Linked DNA regions of Drosophila melanogaster. The protein of the gene in region 1 interacts with the protein of each later gene in a pairwise test. Each region holds a gene or a part of one and is shown on either strand. Other genes may lie near its edges. The genes, in order: CG4617, CG17362, CG3610 and CG14110.

Region 1 (5,770 bases):
TACTCTAGACGGAATTGGATTAGGTACCATTTCAGGGCAGGAAATGCTTCCTGCTTCCAGTCAATGTTCCTGCAGCAGCTGCTGTGCCAAAGTCAATCCTCTACTATAACTTAATGCGGTTTCGGGTATCGAAAGAGGCAAAGCAACTTAAATGGGTGGGGAAACGGTCCAATTTGTTTGTCATAAAACGATCGTGAGATAACGATATCGTTATTTCGATTTTAGTTGCTTTGCCTGTCCATAGAACACAATGGGGTAAACCGATCTATGTACTGTGTATATAACCCCGGAAATGTGCTCTTAGTGCTTTAGTTTGGGCCTTTATCGCGAGGTCATAGGTCATCTACAATGTATTTGTAATTGCCCTAGATGGGCTTCATATCCTATTTTCCTGTGTGTACTTAATGTTGCTCCTAATTAGTTGCCCCTTGCGTTGCCTTTTTACCATTTTGGTGTAACCAAATTCAATAATCGCTCTTGCCTTTTAGACATTAGGACTTAATGTGTGTCGCCTTTGCGTACATAACACATATATACATATATATATTTAGCATTTTTATATAAATTCTTTTTTTTTGAGTTAGAGAGAGAGAGAAACGCGCAGCAACCAAATACTGTGATACGCATGTTCATGTCTTCAAAAACAAAAAAATAAAAATGGGAACCAGAAACTAGGTTTCCAACTTTGCTGTCTTCTCCCGATGCCGAAACAAGTGTACTTAACAATCGAAAAAAAAAAACGCAATTGCAATCGTAGCCGTAATGCCTAATTGTATTCAGTGTGCCATTAGCTTTAGGGACTTAACTGAAACGAGTCAATATCATGAAATTACCTTAAAAGAGTCCTTTTCCAGCAACGAACTTTGGCGGAATTACTGAGGGTTTTCCTTCAACTTCTGCTGATTTTCGCACAGAAAAAGTCCTACTTCTAAATGTCCAACTAACTAGCTAAGAAACTAACTAACCTTTATACAATTGCGGGCTAATACGAATCGTATGGAGCCCGCGACTAACAGTATATGTATTGTATTGTATTGTATTTTATATGTGTATTTTTTTTATTATCATATATGTATATGTATAACTTATTTGCTAGCGAATAAAGTGTCGAAAAGTTAATATCTGTTTTGATTCATTTCGTTTCGCATGGTTTTTACCAAGTAAAAGAGTCTCCAAGTGTCGCCAGTACTCCATGAGCATTTTGTTTCGCCTTCCTGCCAAGAAAATCGCCACCTTGCACAACCCACCTGGCAAGTGGGTGGCCCAGTGGGCGCCTACTGCCGTGTGGGTGGCAAGGTCGCCTCGCTGCGTGTTGGTTCGCATAGGACGATGGTTTCGTTGCGATTGTTGTTGCCGCTGCTGTTGTTGTTGCTGCTACTGGTCGTGGTCGACATGGCCCGCGGGTGCCAATTGTCAAGGTCCTCGTCGCCGTGCTCCTTGGCCCTGTGGTAGTTCTCCAATTCGCTGGCATACTTGCTGCTGGTGATACCAAGCAGGTGGGCCAGCCCACCGCCCACATAGTCGATGCCGGCCAGGAATCGGTTGCCCATCCTGCTGGCCTTGTAACGCAGGCGTGGTCCCAGCGGCATTTCGCTCTAAAAGGTGGCAAAAAAAAAAAAAGCGGGCTAAATGAGTCACGCTAAATGGTCAATGAGGAGGGGGGCGGGGGGTGGCAGCTGCTTATCTTTTTCGTGGCCCTGGGCCCTGTTTGTTTACTTAAACAGCTCAAAACACACATTTTCATTGAAAGATATAAAATTTCTCACATTATTATCATAATTCGCTTCGAACATTAGTCACGTCTCGAGCTCAAAGTGAAAAGTTATTATCTGGATCAGGAGAACTGGGCTAATCTTGAGCAAATTTAACTAACTGTGTTAATCCGGACAATCCCGCTTTAAAAAAGGTAAACAAGCAATGCAGCTACATGACCATGTACTAAATGGATGGCCGGAAGTGCATTACTCCACCCATAATCCTTGCTGAATGTATGTACCTCGTTTAAATGGACGTCGTAGCATTTGTCGCCCATTTCCGCATCCGCCTCGTCCTCGCTGCCCGAGGACAACTCCTCCATGACGCCGTCGCTAAAGTACAGCATGCGCTTGTTGGACTGCAGTTCAAGGGCGCTCACATTGTCCGTCTCGGATGCACTTGCTCCACTCGCAGATGCCAGTTCCAATCCTCCAGCTGCACTGCGTACTTCGCCACTCTTGTTCCTCTCCGCTGACATGGCTATGGATAGCTCTAAACCCGATTAAGTACCGCCTCGATTGATTGACGCTGCGCGAATGTTTTTGCTTGCGCTTGAGCTTCGTTTGAATCGCAGCCGCCGTTTTGGTCATGAAAAAAGCGGACGCGGGTCAACGCCAAATGCGTATACGGCCGGCTGGGGGCCAAAATGTCCTTGGGTTGGGGGCCACCGGCGAAACGACTCACAAACGGCGAGAATCGCGTGCCATGGGGCGCTTGGCGCAGTTAGGTGCAAAGCAAATCGATAAACTAAAAGCCGCTTTCAAACAGCAAAAAAAAAAGTCGAAACAAAACAAAGGTGCGGCAGTGTGACCAGCTGATGGTTTTTGCAAGCTAACTGGATATTAATTTAGATGTATTGTAATAAAAATGAAATTGCAGTCGTATATATCGTAAATGTTTTTGTTTATAAAAATAATTAATAATATAATAAAAAAATTAAGTTGTGCGTGCACATCCTGTGCTTATAATTTAAATAATATAACAATAAAAAATATTATATTATTAAATAATTAAGTTTAATGGTTTCCTACTCTGTACAATTGACTGGTGCAATGGTTATTAACTTAGCAATATATTCAAAAACTAAAATGGTTATCTAGTGTTCCATATTTAACCATCGCTTGCAATGCATCGCGTTTTAAAGCTCTGGTCACACCAAACAGCTGTTTTGTTTGCTTCGTTTAATTCGTTCTTTTTGCAACAAATTGCATCCCAATCTTCCAAAGCAGGTATCCAAACATGGAGTCCCCAACCTCGCACCTGGTGGCCAAGGGTGAGTGGAAAAAGCGGCAGCCGTCAATGGAATCGGGGTCATAAATTCCCAATTAGATTTCCAGGTGACGGGTGTTTCGCGCAGCGGACGCGTACGCAAAAAATCGTCGAAATTGTTGGATTTTGAATCTCCGGATGAGATCGAGAAGCGCACAAGGCGTCACAGTGGCGCCAGACAGCCAGCCAGATATTCGGGCCGCGGCAGGCCATCGAATGCGCTGCGTGATCTGGATCTTGACCAGGAGATGCTCGTGGATGATGGCATTATCTCGGATAGCGAGGAATTCCATCCGGATACAACGGCAACGGTCGTGGCCATTCTGAATTCCGACGATGAACTGGACAATCTGGTGCAGGATATCGTCGATGGTGTCCAGGCGGAGGCCACCAGCCAAGAGTCATCCGTCCGTCAGAGTCTTTACATGCGCGAGAAGTCCAACAAGCGGCAGGTGCTCAAGGACGGCAAGGTGGTGAGTGCCAAGGTGCAGCGCAAGGACAAGGGCAAGCAGCGCTACACCGCCTACAGTCTGTGGGCCAAGGAGGCGCGACAGAAGGATCTCCAGGATCTAGGTAGGTTGCTACACATCTGTGCGCTCTCTATCGCTTATTGACCATTCCCCGCACGCTTGCAGACTTCACCAGCGCGACCAGACGCCTCAGCGAGCTGTGGGCGAACGTTTCCAATCGGGACAAGAACACCTGGCGGCGCAAGGCCAAAATCGAGGCGTCCAGGGCCAAAACTCGCGACAAAACCGCTGCAAACGGTGCAACCCAGCCGGCGAGCAACGGCAGCACGGCTCTGGCAGATGCCACGCAGCACGAGACGATCTTTCAGAACCGTGCGACAACAAGTCGCACTCGAAAACTGGCCGCCGATCGGCAGCAATCCTCAATAGAAGCGGCTGCCGCAGCGGCGGCAGCAGCAGCGACTGGCACCAACACACAGCGGCGCAGCATCAGCACACGAAGTGCCAGGTCGCAGGTCTCGAAGAGCGCGACGAAACAAGCGCAAGTGCACACGGATGCGGACGTCAGCGGCCGGACTGGGGGTCAGCTGAAGCAGGAGGAGGTGCAAAAGACCAGCATCGAAGTGATCGATGCGGCCGCACATCTGAAGCTGCTCGGCGAGAGCCTGACTGTGATTGGCGAGCGACTGAAGAAGCACAATGGATACGTGGCGCTATCGGGCAGCTTGTCCGTGCTCCTCGACAGCCTGCTCTGCGCCATGGGACCGCTGCTCTGCATGACCACGCAAATACCCGGCATGGAGAACAATGTGCAGTTGAGCAAAAATCTGGCCGACACGCTCGACAACATCGCCTACGTAATGCCCGGACTATGAAGTAAATTCCGGATTGCAACTGCAAATGCATACATATATATATATATATAATCATACCAGGCCGCTGCGCTTCCAGCGGCGACTAGAGTCGCCATCGGGATCTGTATGTTTGTAAGGAGTTGGCCAACCTGGAAATAGTTAATCGCATTAGATATGCCTAGTTGATAAACTGAAGCATCTAGATCGTAAGTAAAAGGTCTCCCTCTAATTGAGTTTTTTTTTTATTTGCTTCTTGAATTGAAATTCGTACGCTAAAAAGTTTAGTAGTTCACTTATTTATTTCCACTTTTTGTTTTTTGCAACATTTAAGCACAAATCATCGAAACATTGGTAGAATTAGGCAACATTAAATATCCTATAATCCTTAAGTGAAATAAATGTGAATCACAAGATTCTTATTTCAGCTTCAAATTAAGCAGGCACTTTTTATAATAAACGTAATAAATAAAGATAAATATAAAAGCTAAAAATATGAGATGATTTCTTCCTCTGCCCAAAAATCTTTATAAAAGTGAAATATTTTTAAAAATGATCTCAAATAAGCCATAATTGAAGGTTCGAATAGTGGAACTATAAGCTAGATATAAACTTTAAATATTTATAAATACGTTAATTATTTGCTTACTTTCTAGAGATGGCACTTCGCTGGTGCGCCATCGATGACTTGGCTTGCCGTTACAACGGCGAGCTATCGATGTTACATCGCCGCCCTGCCCACCACTAGCCAGTCCGCGGAAAGTAAATAAGAAGACGGACGCCAAATCGAATCTTCCCACATCCCCGGATGCAGTGCAGCAAGCTCTGGGTCCCTGAGAATCCTGCGTGGGCCTGGGATTCCGAATCCTCTTCCGCCCCGGATCCGCACGTCAGCGCGGCATCCGCATCCGCCACCGCTTCCGCCCACGCACAGCATCCGCAGCCACATCCGCGGCAGCAAAAAAACGGTGAGTTTTCCACCTGCATTTTTTTTTGGATTTTCCGGGGGGGGGGGGGGCAGCAGCTGTGATTGGGATGGAAAATACTTGTGTAGGTGGACGGTCAGGTTGTAGGGGCGAATTGCGTGACGGCAGCGCTACAAATTGGATTAGTGCGGCGATTGATTCTGAATGGGAGATGTAAACAATCTTCCTGTGCACTGAGAAAAATAACATGGTAAAGCAAGGCACAAAAAAAGATGGAAAGATTGGTTGAATAAGATAAAATAGGTTTAAGACTAAGCTGAAATATCATTAGCCAAAAAACATGAATGTGAAATGAATTACTTTAAAGGATTCTTAAGCACAATTTGTTTAGAAAATAAATTCGATTCAGTAACTGTTAAATTCAAAGCTTAAAAAGAAATGGAATACCTTGCGATTTGCAGTCCAGACATTTTCTCGCAGTGCACTAGCTCCCCGCCCG
Region 2 (4,275 bases), on another chromosome or scaffold:
AGCCATCTTTAAAAGAATGCAAATTAAATGAATGTCAGGCCATCAAAACGACCAAAAGCCTTTTGCACAGTTTAAGGACTTATTGAGCTTTGCAAATGTGTTATATATGTAGAGCAGCCTTATTTGAATATTCCTCTTAATTGGTATTTAAAATCAATTGGTGTTGGAAAAAAATGTGTGCACATGTTTGCTAATAAAGTGTGAAACTATAATATTTTACAATTGTAACAAGTACAAGTTATAAATTGAATTTACAATGCACTTTTTTCAGAAATGTGCCGAGTAATTTACTAACAGATTATCAAATGTGGTAAAATATTTCGTACGTTTATCAGAATTCAGAGTGTTTACTCAACCGTAAATCATAAAATTTAATTGTCTTCATACAAATATCAAATGCAATTCTCTTAGAATCAAATATTATAGGCTGGCACATTAACAACGCAAATTACCAAATTTGTCAGAAATAAATTGAATGTTCATATTAGGTGCAAATATGCATATATGAAATGTTACTATCAGCTTGCCGTTGGCATGCAAATTGGATCAAAATTGAATATTTAATTGCACACCGAATATCAATTGCATTAAAATCACAATTCTATCTGTTTGCACATCCATGCTGTTTTCCTACTATTTTTTTTGGAAAAACTTATAATGGGCTACCAGCGTGTGTTTTCGTATTTGGTAATTCCCGCATCATGGCCAAGATAAAATGGATGGGACCGTGAATCATGCAGTTGCAGCTGCTGCGGCAGATGCGGTGCCAGGTGGTCAGGATGTGCCAAAAATAAAAGTTAAACAAACAACCATGAAAGGACCCGAATGGCGACTGGATGTTGTGCAATTTATGGCTCTCATGATCTCGGCGGTTTTTGGACTTGGGACTCCGGAACCGAGCAAAGGTCAATGCAAACTAACGAAACGCAGCGACGGCCAAGTGCATTATCAACAAAAATTCCATTTATTTCGGTTCGCAAGTGCAGCAGCCACAAATATTCATTTACGAAATGGGATTAAACAAAGCGGCGCACAGATAAGTTTTCACAGCAAGTACTTGTATTTAAGGACTTAATTAAGTAACTGGTGTGTATATACATTTAAACAAAAATAAAAGCTGCAGAATTGGAATTATATGTACAACGAAAATACATGCAAGTTATTTTATAGTTATAGAATTTGGGATTTCTTTAAACATATTTATCAATAGCTTTAAAATAGATTTTAAAATAAAATGTAGTGATTTTTGAACCCGAACCCACCTGACTTATTATTAAGCAAGGCCTCCAATTCGTCGACGTCGTCCGGATAACTGCCATAGTCGTCATCATCAGGCACATTGGCGGCATCACGCTTCCGCGTGCGTTTCTCGGTATGCTCATGCTGTTGCTGCTGCGGTACGCCATCCAGATCCATCGTGCTGGAGATGTTCAGCAGGATCGGAATGGCGGCCGAGTCGGAGGACGTGGCCAGGACAGAGGCGGACACGGAGGCGTGGAGCAGGAGAAGGCAACCGTAGAGGAGCACGGCCTGGCCCAGTTGCATGGCCATCAAGTGGCAGCCGTGTGGATGCAGCTGCTGCTGTTTTTGATGTTGTTGCGCCATCAGCTGCAGTCGCCGCAGTAGACAAGGCAACGTTAACTTCGCCATTTTGTCATTTTCGCACCGCCAGCCGCTTCTCAACACATTCGCAATTGTTTGCGAACTTTCGCCATTTGGCCAAGAAGTTTCCGTTTGCGTCGTTAGCAGTTTCAGTTTATGTTATAGTTTGCAGCTCGAGTTTCGGTTTTTGGTTTGCGTTTCCGCTGCCTCAGTGGTTTATAGCTCGCTTTGGACAAATTGGCCAAACCCCGGTGCACATTACGTATACGTCATGCTGCACATTACGTATACGTCGCCGGCCGCTGTTGTTGCTTTTGGTGCTGGTGGTGATGGTAGTGGTGCTTCTGCTGCTGCTGCTGCTGCTGCTCCTGATGATGATGTTTAGCCTTGTCCCGCCTGCCGTTGTCAAGTGGCCAACTAGCTAGCTGCCTGCCCTGCATGATAATTTTATATAATTTGCCCCCGCTGCCACAAATCGGCTCGAGTGGCGCTTGTTTTTGTTGGTTTTACTTCTACCGTTGCCGTTGCGGTCAGCAGCGTCATCATCTTCGAGTGACCCACTAATGTGTGTTGCATGTGCAGCACCGCTGCACGTCTGCCGCCGCCTTCTAGTCGGGTATTAATTCCATGCAAACTGCAGATTTATGGCACGAACTTTGCGAATCTGGGTTGGTCCTCTTTCGGTCTGCCGCGGCTCGTTATCCCGAGCTGAAATTGCACGGAAAAAGGTCAAACATATAAATTTGTGCTTTCACTAAAATAACCATAAATAATATGAGTAGTGCGTGCCATCACATTAAATAATCACGTAGATTACGCGTTTGAAAACGTTTTCTGAAAGTGAACGCAATTTTAACTGCGTGTAGATAAAGTGGATCTATAAACGTTCGTTTTATATTGTAGACGACAAACAATATATTATTTTATTCCACAACATAAAACGTTATATATCTACTTGATTTATAAAAGTATTTACAGGTAACCACCAGGGGCTAATATTATTATCTAAAATTTCTAAAACAAATTGATAATCAAAAAAACATCTACACAGCTGGCCCAAAGTAAACGAATGTGTGTTTGTTTAATCATATTTACTTTTGATTCATGAAAAACGAGATTCGACTGATATGTTGGTATATAAACCAGAGGATTGAGCTTTCTTCGTTTAGATCACAAAATCTCCCCAAAACGAAAATGAAACTTCTTCTGGTTCTGGCATTGGCAGTCTTCGTAGCCCACGTGGCTGTGGCCCAGACAACTGATTCGTCTGACGATGGAGATTACTCTTACGATTACGCTGATGACAACGATACTGCCGGTAGCTCCGAAGACAACACTGCTGATTCTGGAGACACTAGTGATAGCTCCACTGACGTCGACAGTGGAAACGACTCTGGGGACGTCGATTCCTATGACGACTACGAGGGCTCTAGCGATGTTACGGAAGCACCAACTGCTGCTCCAGTTGTCAAAAAGAACAAAAGAGCTGGTGCCAGGAAAAACAACAGGAACAACAAGAATAAGGCAGCAGCTAAACGTCGCAATGCCGCCGCTGCCAAGAAAAGTAATAACAAGAAGGCGGCTAAGAAGCGAACACCTGTTGCCGCCAAGAAGCGGGCAAATGCTGGACCCAACAAACGTAGGCGCTCTGGATAAATCCAGTTTATTATATTCGTAGCTACAAATTATAAAAATAAAAAATTATACCAAAAAAATTTGTTCCCAAAATTACCAAGATTTTTTTCTATGACGTTTATAAGTTAGGTTTTGAATTAATATATAATAATGATAATGATATTTACCAAGAATGTGGTTGTTGGGTATGGGTGTTTATTATTATGAATTTTGTACAAAACTTGAATATCACAGAAATTTTGAAATATATTTAACTATTTCACCCAATGTTCAAAAGACAAGAAAACATTCTACATAAGTTTTTATCGGCACGTGTTTTTTCCCTCATTTGTAAATAAATATATTTTTGATAAACAAAAACATACACCGCATATACTTGAAAAATTATATAATTTTAAAGACGTTTAATGTCATATCTATTTTTTCTATAAAACTACTAGCAGGTCGCCTAACGCGTAAACCATAGACAAATTGTTCAAAAATCCAGATAAGACATTTGTGACCTTGGCTCTTTTAATATAAAAGAGTTTATATTACTTTTTCGTGCTCTAACACAAAATATAATTTCATAATTTCAACATATAGCAATCGAAAAATGTTAAACAAATACAAGCAGCACACACAGGTGCTCTAAGCCACCGAAAATTAAGACGATGAATTAAAAAACCAATATTTGCATTCTACAGATGTACATAGAAAAATAATGTAAAAAAGCTTTATATATTTATAAATTTCTTCAGAGGAGAAAAAACTATAAATACCCAGTGTTGAAGACTTTTAAACTCAGACGTTTATACCTAAGGTTACCTATCTGTTCGTTGACTCTATAGATACAAAAAAAAAAAGATGAGGCTGCTGTTGGTTTTAAGCCTGGCCATATTGGTTGCCTTCGTAACGGGTGCTGATGACACTGACGATGACTATTACGATTATTACGACTATGGTGATGACTACTATGACGACTCTGATGTAGAGTCCAGTTCGGAAAGTGGTGTTGGTGCATCCAGTAGCTCAGAAGATGATGCTAGTACCTCCGAG
Region 3 (5,406 bases), on another chromosome or scaffold:
CATGAAACTATGAGTAGCAAATAAATTCCTGAAAGGCAAATTGATATTTTCATTTTCAATAAAACATAAACGCGACCTCAGGTCGTGCCCCAAGTGAACCGTCTGTTTGTTTGTATGGAAATTATATGAAAATTGCACTTGAAACTTTGTCTTGAGCTGTCTGCCACTTGCAGTTGAAAGTTTTTCCGTATTGCTGCCGTCCTGCATCTTTTTTCCGGAAATTATTGATAGTCCCGTCTAAAGTTACGAAGAAATTTCAATATTAAATGGATTCAAAGTTAAAGTGTATAAATAAAATAAAATCATCTGCACAAATCCAGCAGTCAAGTGCCTTCGAACTAGCCACGGGGGCCAAAGGGTCAAGGGGATAAAGTTTCGTTCATGTGGTTGCCCAGTGGAATACAAGAAACCCTATATGACCACTATATATGCACGGTACATGGCGATTCAAGCACTTTGCCATTGTGTACATTCCTCACTTGTCCGACATTCCAGGTCAACAAATAGCGAAAGGCTTGCCTTCGCTTGAAAAGGGTTCCCTAAATCAGTAGATATCAAAGGATGTTACAGGTGAAATAATATCTCGACACTACTTCTAACCTAACGTAGGTAGTATGTAGCTTGATTTAAAATCTAAATAAAACCCTACCCTCTCCTTTTTTTTAAGCATTTACATTCGAGACACATAAATGTTAAATACCAATGAAAAGCCCCGCGAAAAGTTCGTTGAACCAGACATGGCAAGTTTCTCTCCGAAGATGGTTTGATTAATTGACGATGACCTGGCTAAAGACTTAATGCCGAACTTCCGTGCGAGTGGCAGATATACTTATTATATCAATTAAGGTAAGCAACAATGCTTTCTATTGTCCCCCCCAGTCCAGCGATTCTGCTGTCTCATAGGGTCGGACCGCCACTTTCCATCATCCATCCAACTTAATGTGCAATAATGAGTGTCATGTAATGCCAGACGCGTTCGATTCGAATTGCCAACCAACCAACAAACAAACAAAACTGAACTCAACTCAAACAGCAGCTGCATTGGCGGCTAAAGGAAAATAAAAGAGAAAAACCCAATGCAGCATTAGCAACGACAACAAATTAACATTTTTCAAAACTTTAAAGCCCCGACATGCGTTGACACTTTCGGGGAAAATTGCGTACAATTTCAAATGCAGGCACAAAACTTTACGCGTAATTACGACACTGGGGAAAACAGGAGGAAAATATAAATGGCAATAAGGGGGGGGGGGGGGGCACAAAAAAAAAACAAATAAATAAAACAAACCGCTGGCAAATCGCGTTCGCTGCGCCGTTGACAGTTGTAAAATGGAAAGGTTATCCGGACCCTGGTCGGCAAAAACCATGGACAGCCAACAAATGCGTCGAGGAAAGTGCCTTCGGAAGCTGCAGCTGCTACTGGAGCTACTCATGTCCCATTCCCCATGCCCCCCCGCCACGAACTCAATCCCCTCCTGCCACAGAGACTCCGCCAATGAGCTTCTGTCGTGGACAGTGACTGATGGTCTGGGAGAGCTCCGCTCTTTTCTGCCTCCAATGATTACGATGATGATGAAGACGGCGATGACAGGGCAGCATTTAACCAGCGCTCAGCAGTTAGATAACTATATATAAATTATGGAAGCCAGACGATAAAAATCCTCGACAGATCGCTCTAGAACGTCTACCATAGTTTATAATTCTAAATATACGTATGTTGAAAATGTTTGATTGCAATTGTGAACAAATTATAATTGGTTTTATCTTATTTTCCAATATACTCAGTATTCTGTAAATAATTGACTTTTATTTAAATACCTTTTTAGCTCAATAGCTGTTTTAAATTCAGGAGAAATATTATTTCTATTGAGTGCAATGCATTCGAGCTCAGAAACTCAATCGTTTAGCTCGGTTGTGATTTTCCATACAAATTCGTATGCAAATTCAAAGGTATATATAGCCAATAGTCGGGGCAACAACGCGCTCGCAAGGGAAGCACTTGAGCCTTACTTTGATGCACATATCCCCATTAAGTTGGCCCCCGTCGAGCTTGTGGCTCCCAATGCGGCCATGCAGTAGGTGAGAGAGAGAGAGAGATCTCTTGGCCTCTTGGCCCAGAACCCACTCAAATATGCTAATCCACTGGAAGTCCACACAGACCTCCACAGACAGCCCACAGTAGAGTGCATGTTTCTGAGCTTCAGGAAAAGTAGTTGCATAAAGCTACAATGCCTTTCCAGAATCTCACAGAGGAAGTAATTTGAAATTACGGAAGGACAGGCTTTCAATTACGGTAAGCTAACTTACCGATATAAAGGGAACATTCTGTAATCGTGGGCAATTGACAGATTCTGTCAATGACAGAAAATCAAGAAAAGTGGCTTTATATTCGCAGCTTAAAAATATTAGCCAGCTCTTATCTGTTTCACTTAATTCTTCATAACATACTTGTAATTTGAATTAACCTGAATATTATTTTCTAAACTTATTTATCCAGCTGAAAACTGTCGTTTTTTAATATCTGAAAATTTTCTAGCAGTCTTCAGTTAGTCAGTAGATTTCGTTAGGTTACTAGCACAAAAAAAAAACATTTTGAGTGAACTAATACCACTCAAAACGCCTTGACATATCACATATTTCATTCCCAGTTAAATTTTCCTAAGTAATTTCTTTAAAAGGAAGTGGTTTGTTTTCTTGAACCACGATGGAAAATCTCCAACCGGAGTCGGATCGCGTTGGCCATATTGTCTGGGATGAACCGGGAGCCTCGATTTTTGCCACCGCCTCCCAGGAGCCCGTACCGAATCTTCTGACCGAGTTCAAACCAATGCCGAAGGGCGAGGACGACTGTGTTTCTGATAAGGATGTGTGCCGCATTCTTACACAGTCGTCTGTCGCGGAGAGCTCATTGTTCCGAATGGTCAAACACCAGGTGGACGAAGTGGCCGCCATGCTCAACAGTCACCTGCATCCGCGCCAACGGAAGGAGCAAACCGATGTGGATGTCACCCTCGGTGTAGCAAGGGAACTGGCTCGCCAGCAGGTGGAGGCCAGTAGATGCCTTCAACTTCATCGCAATGTGGAAAATTTGAGGGATCTCGAGATGGAAGTGGCCCGTGCCCACACAGCGTTGGCTGTCAAGAACAAGATCACCAACAATATCAAACAAACGGTGGAAGATAAGCAGCGGGAGCGGGCCGAAGCTTTGGCGGAACAGCGAGCCGTGGAAAAGGAGCTGAAGGAGGAGAAGCAAAGAAGGGCTCAGAAGGCAGCCGTGTTTCGTAGAGATCTAATGGCCCAGATTACCGAGGGGCGTACCAAGCGGATACAAGATCATCGAATAGCTGTGGCCGAGGGTCGTCAAGAGCTAAAGGAATGCAAGGAGATAGTGGAGCAGGGAATCCTAAAGGATGCAGTTACAAAGGCGCAGCAGCGCAAGGTGCTCCTCGAATCCCTAGACCAATCGGCAGCCATGTTGAAGCAAACCCGCGAGGCCTACGCTCTGGCCCAAAAGAATAAGCCCGAGAGAGGACTCCTTGATGCCCTGGGACCCGTTACGGCGGCCTATGTGTCAAAGGCACGGAAACGACGCCTTGATGAGATCGAGGCCAGGGACATTAATGCCGCTCGGCTGGGCTTCCAGCTCAGCCAGATCAAGCACGATCTGGAGTCCCGAGATCAAGTCATCACCAGTCTGCTAATCCGCGAGCACAAGGCCAAGGAGAACGCGAAGGCCTTGGAACAGGCTAGAACCAAAATGGCCAAGAAGCAGGAGATTCGCGAACAGCTCCTCAGCCAGCGGGAAGAGCAGAAGTTCTTCCGAGATAAGGGTGTGCAGGATGCCCTGGTCATGCCCAAGGATCCCATGTGCTTCGGCGAACGACAGTATCGAATGCAAGTGGCCCAGCGGGAGAACACCCGGCGCTTGGATGTCCAATGCTACCAGGACATGGCCCACATGGTCGTGGAGGCCAAGAATAACAGGAAAGCCGCTGCCCAGGAGGTGGTTGACATTGTACAGGAGGTCTACAACCAACAGAATCGCCAGGATGAGCTTGTGGCTATTGAGCGGATGAAGCTGCTCTCCAAGCAGCCACCTGAAGTTCTTTCAGCGCTCAAGAAATCCATTCTCACCGAAGAGGAGATCAAGTCTTTAAACCTTAAGAAGTAGTTAATGAGTTTTCATTTAATACGCGCTAGATGCCCGTATTAAGGCTTGTAGAAACAAAAAATACAAAAAAGTACTTTTTGTTTTTTTCTTCGGGTTATTATTAAACCTACGCCCCCCTGGATGTTGGCTATTATTTATCAAGTATACTACCTCATGTGAAGCAGCCCACTGGCACAGGATGTGCTTAATTTTCCATTTTGCTGCTCTGCACTTTTAAATAGACTTTGCTGGCGCTGCCGGGATGGCAAATGAAATTCACTTTCTTATCCATTCTTTGGCCAAGCTTTTGCAGCAGGTCAGGTTTCCAGGTTTCGTACTCGAGCAACCGGTTTACCGACATTGCAGCTGGAAATTTGTTTACAATAATACGGTTCGAACGCACGCAGATGGGAGCGTAAGTGCACTTTGAAACCGGGCTTACATACATTTCCTTTACTTTCCATTTCTGGACTCATTAGCCGGCTGCCGGAGGAGACAGGTTTATATTTCATAACTGGCTGGCGAAGAAGGCTCAAGAATGTTGGCAAAGTCAGTTTTTTGGCAACCATTTTGGAGCACTCTCTTGACGACCTGCGGAAACTTTCCCTGGCAATAACTTTGGCTCCAAGTTTCAGCTTCAATGTGCAGAAAAAAAGATATATTTATGCTTTCAGTACACTGTAAACTATCGAAAGAAACTCTTTTTGGGTGCTGCGAGCTCAACTAGTTCTATAAACTGTAGTCATACTATTAAAATGAAACATGCTAGTTGTACTAACCAGGAAATTAGGGAAATTCTTGTTAGATCAATGCTTGGTTTCTTTCAGTGCAGACTTATAGAAGCGACCAGCACAATCACAACCCAGTTTCTGTTTCAACTTAAGTCTGCTGAATGGTGTGAGGTTGTTTTGTCTTTTCGACTCTGGTCTGGTCATAGAGGAGCAGCTTGGTTGGCAAACTTTTTATGCCGAAACTTTTTTTTTGGGCCAGATCTTCAAGTTGGCCAAAAAGATGTGAAGTTGTGTGCACAGGCGTGTCTGCAGCTCTTCCACCTGGAAGAGCGTTACTGGCTCTAATAGGAGTTGAGTCGTCGTGTGGCTGCAAATGTGTTTGCATTGCTATGAAATTGGAAACGAGATCTGCAAAAGTTGAGTAATTGAGCTGATTCTGCTTCGTTGGTCACTCGAATCGAAGAACCTTTCCTCCAACGTATTCATGCCACAACAATCATCTGGGGGCCCCATTTTCAAGCCAAC
Region 4 (4,817 bases), on another chromosome or scaffold:
AGATCGGCGGAATAACAGAATGACAACGCTTGATTGGACGTGGATTTCCTGCGAGCGAGTGCAGCTGCCGGCGATCGCGGTCAGAAGAACCTCATAAAATAACAACCAGATCACCGAACCTTTCCAGATTGACCCAATTTCAGAGAACCGGCTCGAGAAGCGGCCGAGCTTGGGAGGCTGGGCGTCGAATGGAGGGCATCGAAGGTGTTAAAAAAACACACACACACACAACCAGTTCCAGATCCGAGACATTCTAGATGGCTATCGCTGGGAAGGGTACGACCACAGCCACATCAGTTTGCATAAAATTTCACCAAATATAATATAGTATGAGTACCAAAAAGTTGGCGTACTTTCGTTCGGACCTCGAGACATCGCGAAGTGTAAACAAATCTCGAGAAGATGTGGAACTCTTTGAAAGAGCTGCAGTGGGAAGAAAACCGGTAAGCCCCTAAAGAATTCCCCGCCGAGTGGCTAAGACTGGTACTTAAGCACCGCTCGCCAGAAGATGCGATCAGTTGTTGTGGAGTCGAGCAGCTGACCAGATCAACATGAGGCCATACCAAGTAGTTTGCATCGTAGGTAAGTCTCGCATATCGAAGCTGACCAGTTCTGGAAGTCCCATAATTAACTGGTATGCGCCCATTTCCTTTTTAGCAGTAGCAGCTCTGCTGCTTTTGGAGGCGATTCCCGCGGATGCAAAGCGGCGCAAGCACAAGGGCTCCGATCATCACTATGAAAAGTCTGATCCCCACAAGACCAAGACAAAGACCAAGTGGTCTAGCTCCACGGATTTGGCTGGAAACACTCCAATTTCCACCGAAGAGCACGGCTACTATGTAAAGCGCACCTTTGCGGCTCCCGGTGAGATTGGAGCCGCACAGAAGCGTCTAAGTCCCCCCTATTTGGCCATTCCCATCGCCTGGTTCAGCTGTGAGTCGGGCCAGAAGAATTGCCAGTCTTCCAATTCCGCGGCTATCAACAGTGCCGCGCAGTCCTTGAGCGAGGGCTATCTGTGCGACGATGATTGCGATGAACTGTACGAGCCCATCTGCGGCAGGACCACCTCAGAGGTGGCCGTTTTCTACAACAAGTGCAAGTTGGGTGTAGCCAAGTGCCGATCCCACGGTCTTTGGACGGACTTCGCCTATGCCGAGTGCCAGGCGAAATATCCGCAGGAAACTGCCTATGCCGACAAGAAGTTCCGGTCATCGCCTTATTTCCGGGATGCGGCCATCGTGGAGCAATTGAAGCTGGAGGAGGAGAAGCGTAAGCAGGAGGAGGAACAACACAAGCTGGAGAAGGAGCAAAAGAAGAAGGAGAAGGCTGAGAAAAATAAGAACGAGAAGGACAGCAGCGAAAGCAGCGAGGAGAAGGATGACCAAAAGGAAAACAAGCAGAAGGATCCCCTTTCCCTAATGCCACAGAAGAAAGTGGAATCCACCCAGAAGCCAGTGCCAGTTCCTATTCAAGTAGCAGTTCCAAAACCAGTTTCAGTTTTGGAGCCTGCAAAGACGACCGAGGACATCGCTATGCCGCCTATGCCACTGAAGGACACTCCCACGCCCAAACCTCTGGAGATCGCGCCCCTTCACCAGCAGACCCAACCCAAGGGCAAGGACATTGATAGGCTCAAGTACCAAGTAGCTTAGAAAGCAATGGCTACACAAATCTCACCTAATTATAGTATTTATTTAATTTATTACAACAAATAAAATTCTAAACAACGATAATCATCTATATTTGATAAACAAAATGGGTTTTTTTTAAATACACGCTTTGTAGTTTAAACGTGTATTGGACTACAATTTTTATGGCTAACTTTAATGGTAACCCGACTTTTATATTGTCATAAAAATAAAAATCATAAGATCTGCTTAGCACTTTTATGTAGATATTTTATATGGGATCGAAACGCACTTTTATTTTCCCAAAGTCAGTAAGAGTGTCTTCTTAGTTCTTATGACTCCAGACCAGTTACACTATTTTTCAGATCCCTTGAGCATTTAATTACTGAAATAGGTGCATTGTACATTTACATAGCTATATCTTTGGAAAGACATTAATCGGGATCCAACATTTCTGTGACAAACTAGTATAACTCGAAGCAGATTTAGTAGCAAGGGGAAAGGTGTGTGCAAAATTTGTAATGGGAATGAATACACCTATGATTCTTAACGAACTCATTCTTGATAATTCTTTATGGCCTCTAAAGAACTTTGTGTGTTAAAGTAACGGGTATAACAACTTCAACTTTACATATATATCTTTCAATCAGATAATTTTCAAAACTTTCTTAGAGGCAAATTCACCTCTTTGTAATTAAATTGAGAAGAATTCTAAGGCGATGCAGTTGCATTGAATCAAGTGCATTGACCCCCAAAACAAGTTCTATAAACTGATTGATATCTGAAGCTTGAAAGGGCCATCATCCATTGCCAGGCACTAAACCTAAAAACTAATTGGGCGTGGGATGGACAATGCAACAGGTTGCGGCTGGGTTGCCTATAAAAGCAGCGGGATTTGTGTCACTTGTCACAGAAGTTGACCAACTGCAATGGGAGCCACTAGTGTCGGAGTTCCAGTCTGGAAGATTCAGCTACTGATTCTGCTGAGTGCAGGTGAGAATATTCTAAAAGTTGTAGCTTGTGGTATTTAGTTTTCCTCTCCTAGTTGTTCTCACCATTCAAGCTGCTCCTGTCGAGGTAACCGAAGGAGTGACCCAACCCCCAGCCGAGAAGCTGCAAACGGAGTCTCGTTCCCGTAAAGATGAAGAGCTGGAACTAGAAGAAGACCTGGATGGACGTAATGCCTATATCAACAATCAGTTTGTGCCAAGCGAACCTGCAGAAGTCCTAGAGGATGTGCAGAATACGCCGCTCTACGAGATCCTTCAAAAGCAGATGGAACAAGTGTTGGCCTCATCGGCTCCCAATGACCCTGTCTACGAGCAGCACCGCGAGAAGCAGGATCGTCGCGATCAGAAACCACCACACCAGCCACCGTACTTCTCCGGCGGAGATCGAGATGGTGATCTACAGGATGACTACGAGGACGAGGAGGATCAGACGGATCAGGGTTATCCGTCGGACCCCGAGAAACCGGACGCCGTGTCAGATGCTCCCGAGGATGAGGACCCAGGCTACCAGGCACCTTCGTTGAGCCTTCCAACCACCACCACTCGCAAACCGTACAGACGACGCAGCACAACCACTTTTCAGCCACGAACCACCAGGACAAGAACCACTGCTCAGCCCAGGATCTCGGAAAGTCCATTGAACCAAACCAGCACCACAGAGCAATCACCAAATGTGACCACCAGCACTCCACGGCCCAAGATTGGTTCCAGCACCAAACCCAAGGCAAATCCTCAGCCGGGAAACAGCCTGCCAAGTGACCCGCAGGTTTACCAGCACAAGCGTCGCATCATCTTCAAGACCATCTCAACGGGCTCGCAATTCGTCAACTCGCCAATTGGCGACCTAATGATCAAGTTCTCAATCGGATTTGCCAAGCCAACCACTCCGGGTGGAGCTACCAGCACTGCGGGTTCACATAGTTCGTCCAGTGAGGCTTTACGTGCTCTTTCGCAAAACTTAATTCGAAATTTTGAACTTCAAAAACTAAGAAGAGCCAATAAAGTGCAAAAATATTAGATATACATTATTAACGAAAACAAAACCACGGGTTTTCAATTGGATTCATGTTTTAATGTACTAACAACAATGGATTCGAAGACTTTATGAGTAGTAGCTATATTTCGAACAAAAGATATTTTTAAAACCCTCAGTTGAAGAACTTAATTCTATTCTATTACCTCAAATTCAAAAATTTCGAATTGTGTTATAGAAATTTCATGAATATTTTAATCACCACAACAGCAATTGCTTGTGCAATAAGCAAAACATTCGATTTGGAGCGAGGTCTGCTAAAATTATTCCAGCGGGAACCAATCATTGATCTCCAAATTGTTGAAAACAACTTGAGATGACGCCATAAGAATATACATAACCAAATCAGAAAATGTATTCCGTCACGTACGAGAATTTCGAGACAATGACAATAGATCCACATGTACGGTTCGTGTTTAGTAGAGTTAATACACAAAATGGAGGTGAACAGTCACAGTAACAACAACGTCATAATCCGTAAAGGAACATGGTTAGCTACCTTAGAGTAAATATAATCTAACTGCCTTGGCTATTCGGTGCCCAATCGTTGTTTTCATCGAGTCTCATAGGTTGGTTAGTTCGCTAGGCGATATGTAAGCTTCATAAAAATATATCTATGGAGGGTATTTCACCGGCGTTATGAAATTATAAATGGTTAACAATTGTACATATATACCTGTCTAAAAGGCTTTATGAGGATGGGTTTATGTTTAACACGGAATTCAATCTTGTGAGGCAGCCTTTGACATTTTTAGCTATTGAATGCAGCTAATCCTAATCCAAAACAGCATTAGCGCACGGGCCAGAATCTCTGGGCCAGGAGAGGAATGGTGACGCCGGTGACGATGCTGGAAATCAGGTTGACACTATGGTTGTCCAGGATGCGCAGTCCGCTTACGTGGCGCACTCCCTTTCCAGGTGTATCCACAATCTTGCCTTCCTCATTGATGCCCGAGAACTGCAGCAGACCACCTAGGACAGAGTCCAAAAGGGACCCAAAAAGTCCAGCGATGCCACCGAAGGCGATGATTGGCCATTGTGGTGGGCTAATCAGAAGCATTTTGGCCTCAACCGTGTAACGAACGGTGACGAAATAGCCAAAGCCGACGAGCAGACCGCCGAGCAGACTCACCGCGACGCCGAGCA

Evidence for each region.
Region 2: the proteins of CG4617 (region 1) and CG17362 interact in a two-hybrid assay, tested with the Drosophila melanogaster proteins (one large-scale study listed by BioGRID).
Region 3: the proteins of CG4617 (region 1) and CG3610 interact in a two-hybrid assay, tested with the Drosophila melanogaster proteins (one large-scale study listed by BioGRID).
Region 4: the proteins of CG4617 (region 1) and CG14110 interact in a two-hybrid assay, tested with the Drosophila melanogaster proteins (one large-scale study listed by BioGRID).

What each region holds. Positions count from the first base shown.
Region 1 is NC_004354.4:7,101,619-7,107,388, reverse strand, and holds CG4617 (uncharacterized protein), read left to right. Parts: upstream 1-2,897; 5' UTR 2,898-2,994; coding exon 2,995-3,028; intron 3,029-3,084; coding exon 3,085-3,597; intron 3,598-3,659; coding exon 3,660-4,369; 3' UTR 4,370-4,554; exon of another isoform or gene 4,555-4,679; 3' UTR 4,680-4,834; downstream 4,835-5,770. Other genes in the region: fz4 (frizzled 4), read left to right, coding at 1-8; CG8300 (uncharacterized protein), read right to left, coding at 1,275-1,595, 1,997-2,233.
Region 2 is NT_037436.4:13,983,859-13,988,133, forward strand, and holds CG17362 (uncharacterized protein), read left to right. Parts: upstream 1-2,761; 5' UTR 2,762-2,796; coding exon 2,797-3,258; 3' UTR 3,259-3,326; downstream 3,327-4,275. Other genes in the region: CG17364 (uncharacterized protein), read right to left, coding at 1,263-1,650; CG9040 (uncharacterized protein), read left to right, coding at 4,084-4,275.
Region 3 is NT_033777.3:14,842,503-14,847,908, forward strand, and holds CG3610 (uncharacterized protein), read left to right. Parts: upstream 1-2,540; 5' UTR 2,541-2,704; coding exon 2,705-4,171; 3' UTR 4,172-4,235; downstream 4,236-5,406.
Region 4 is NT_037436.4:13,382,254-13,387,070, forward strand, and holds CG14110 (uncharacterized protein), read left to right. Parts: upstream 1-2,535; 5' UTR 2,536-2,557; coding exon 2,558-2,621; intron 2,622-2,673; coding exon 2,674-3,656; 3' UTR 3,657-3,672; downstream 3,673-4,817. Other genes in the region: ImpL1 (Ecdysone-inducible gene L1), read left to right, coding at 552-1,652; CG10171 (uncharacterized protein), read right to left, coding at 4,462-4,817.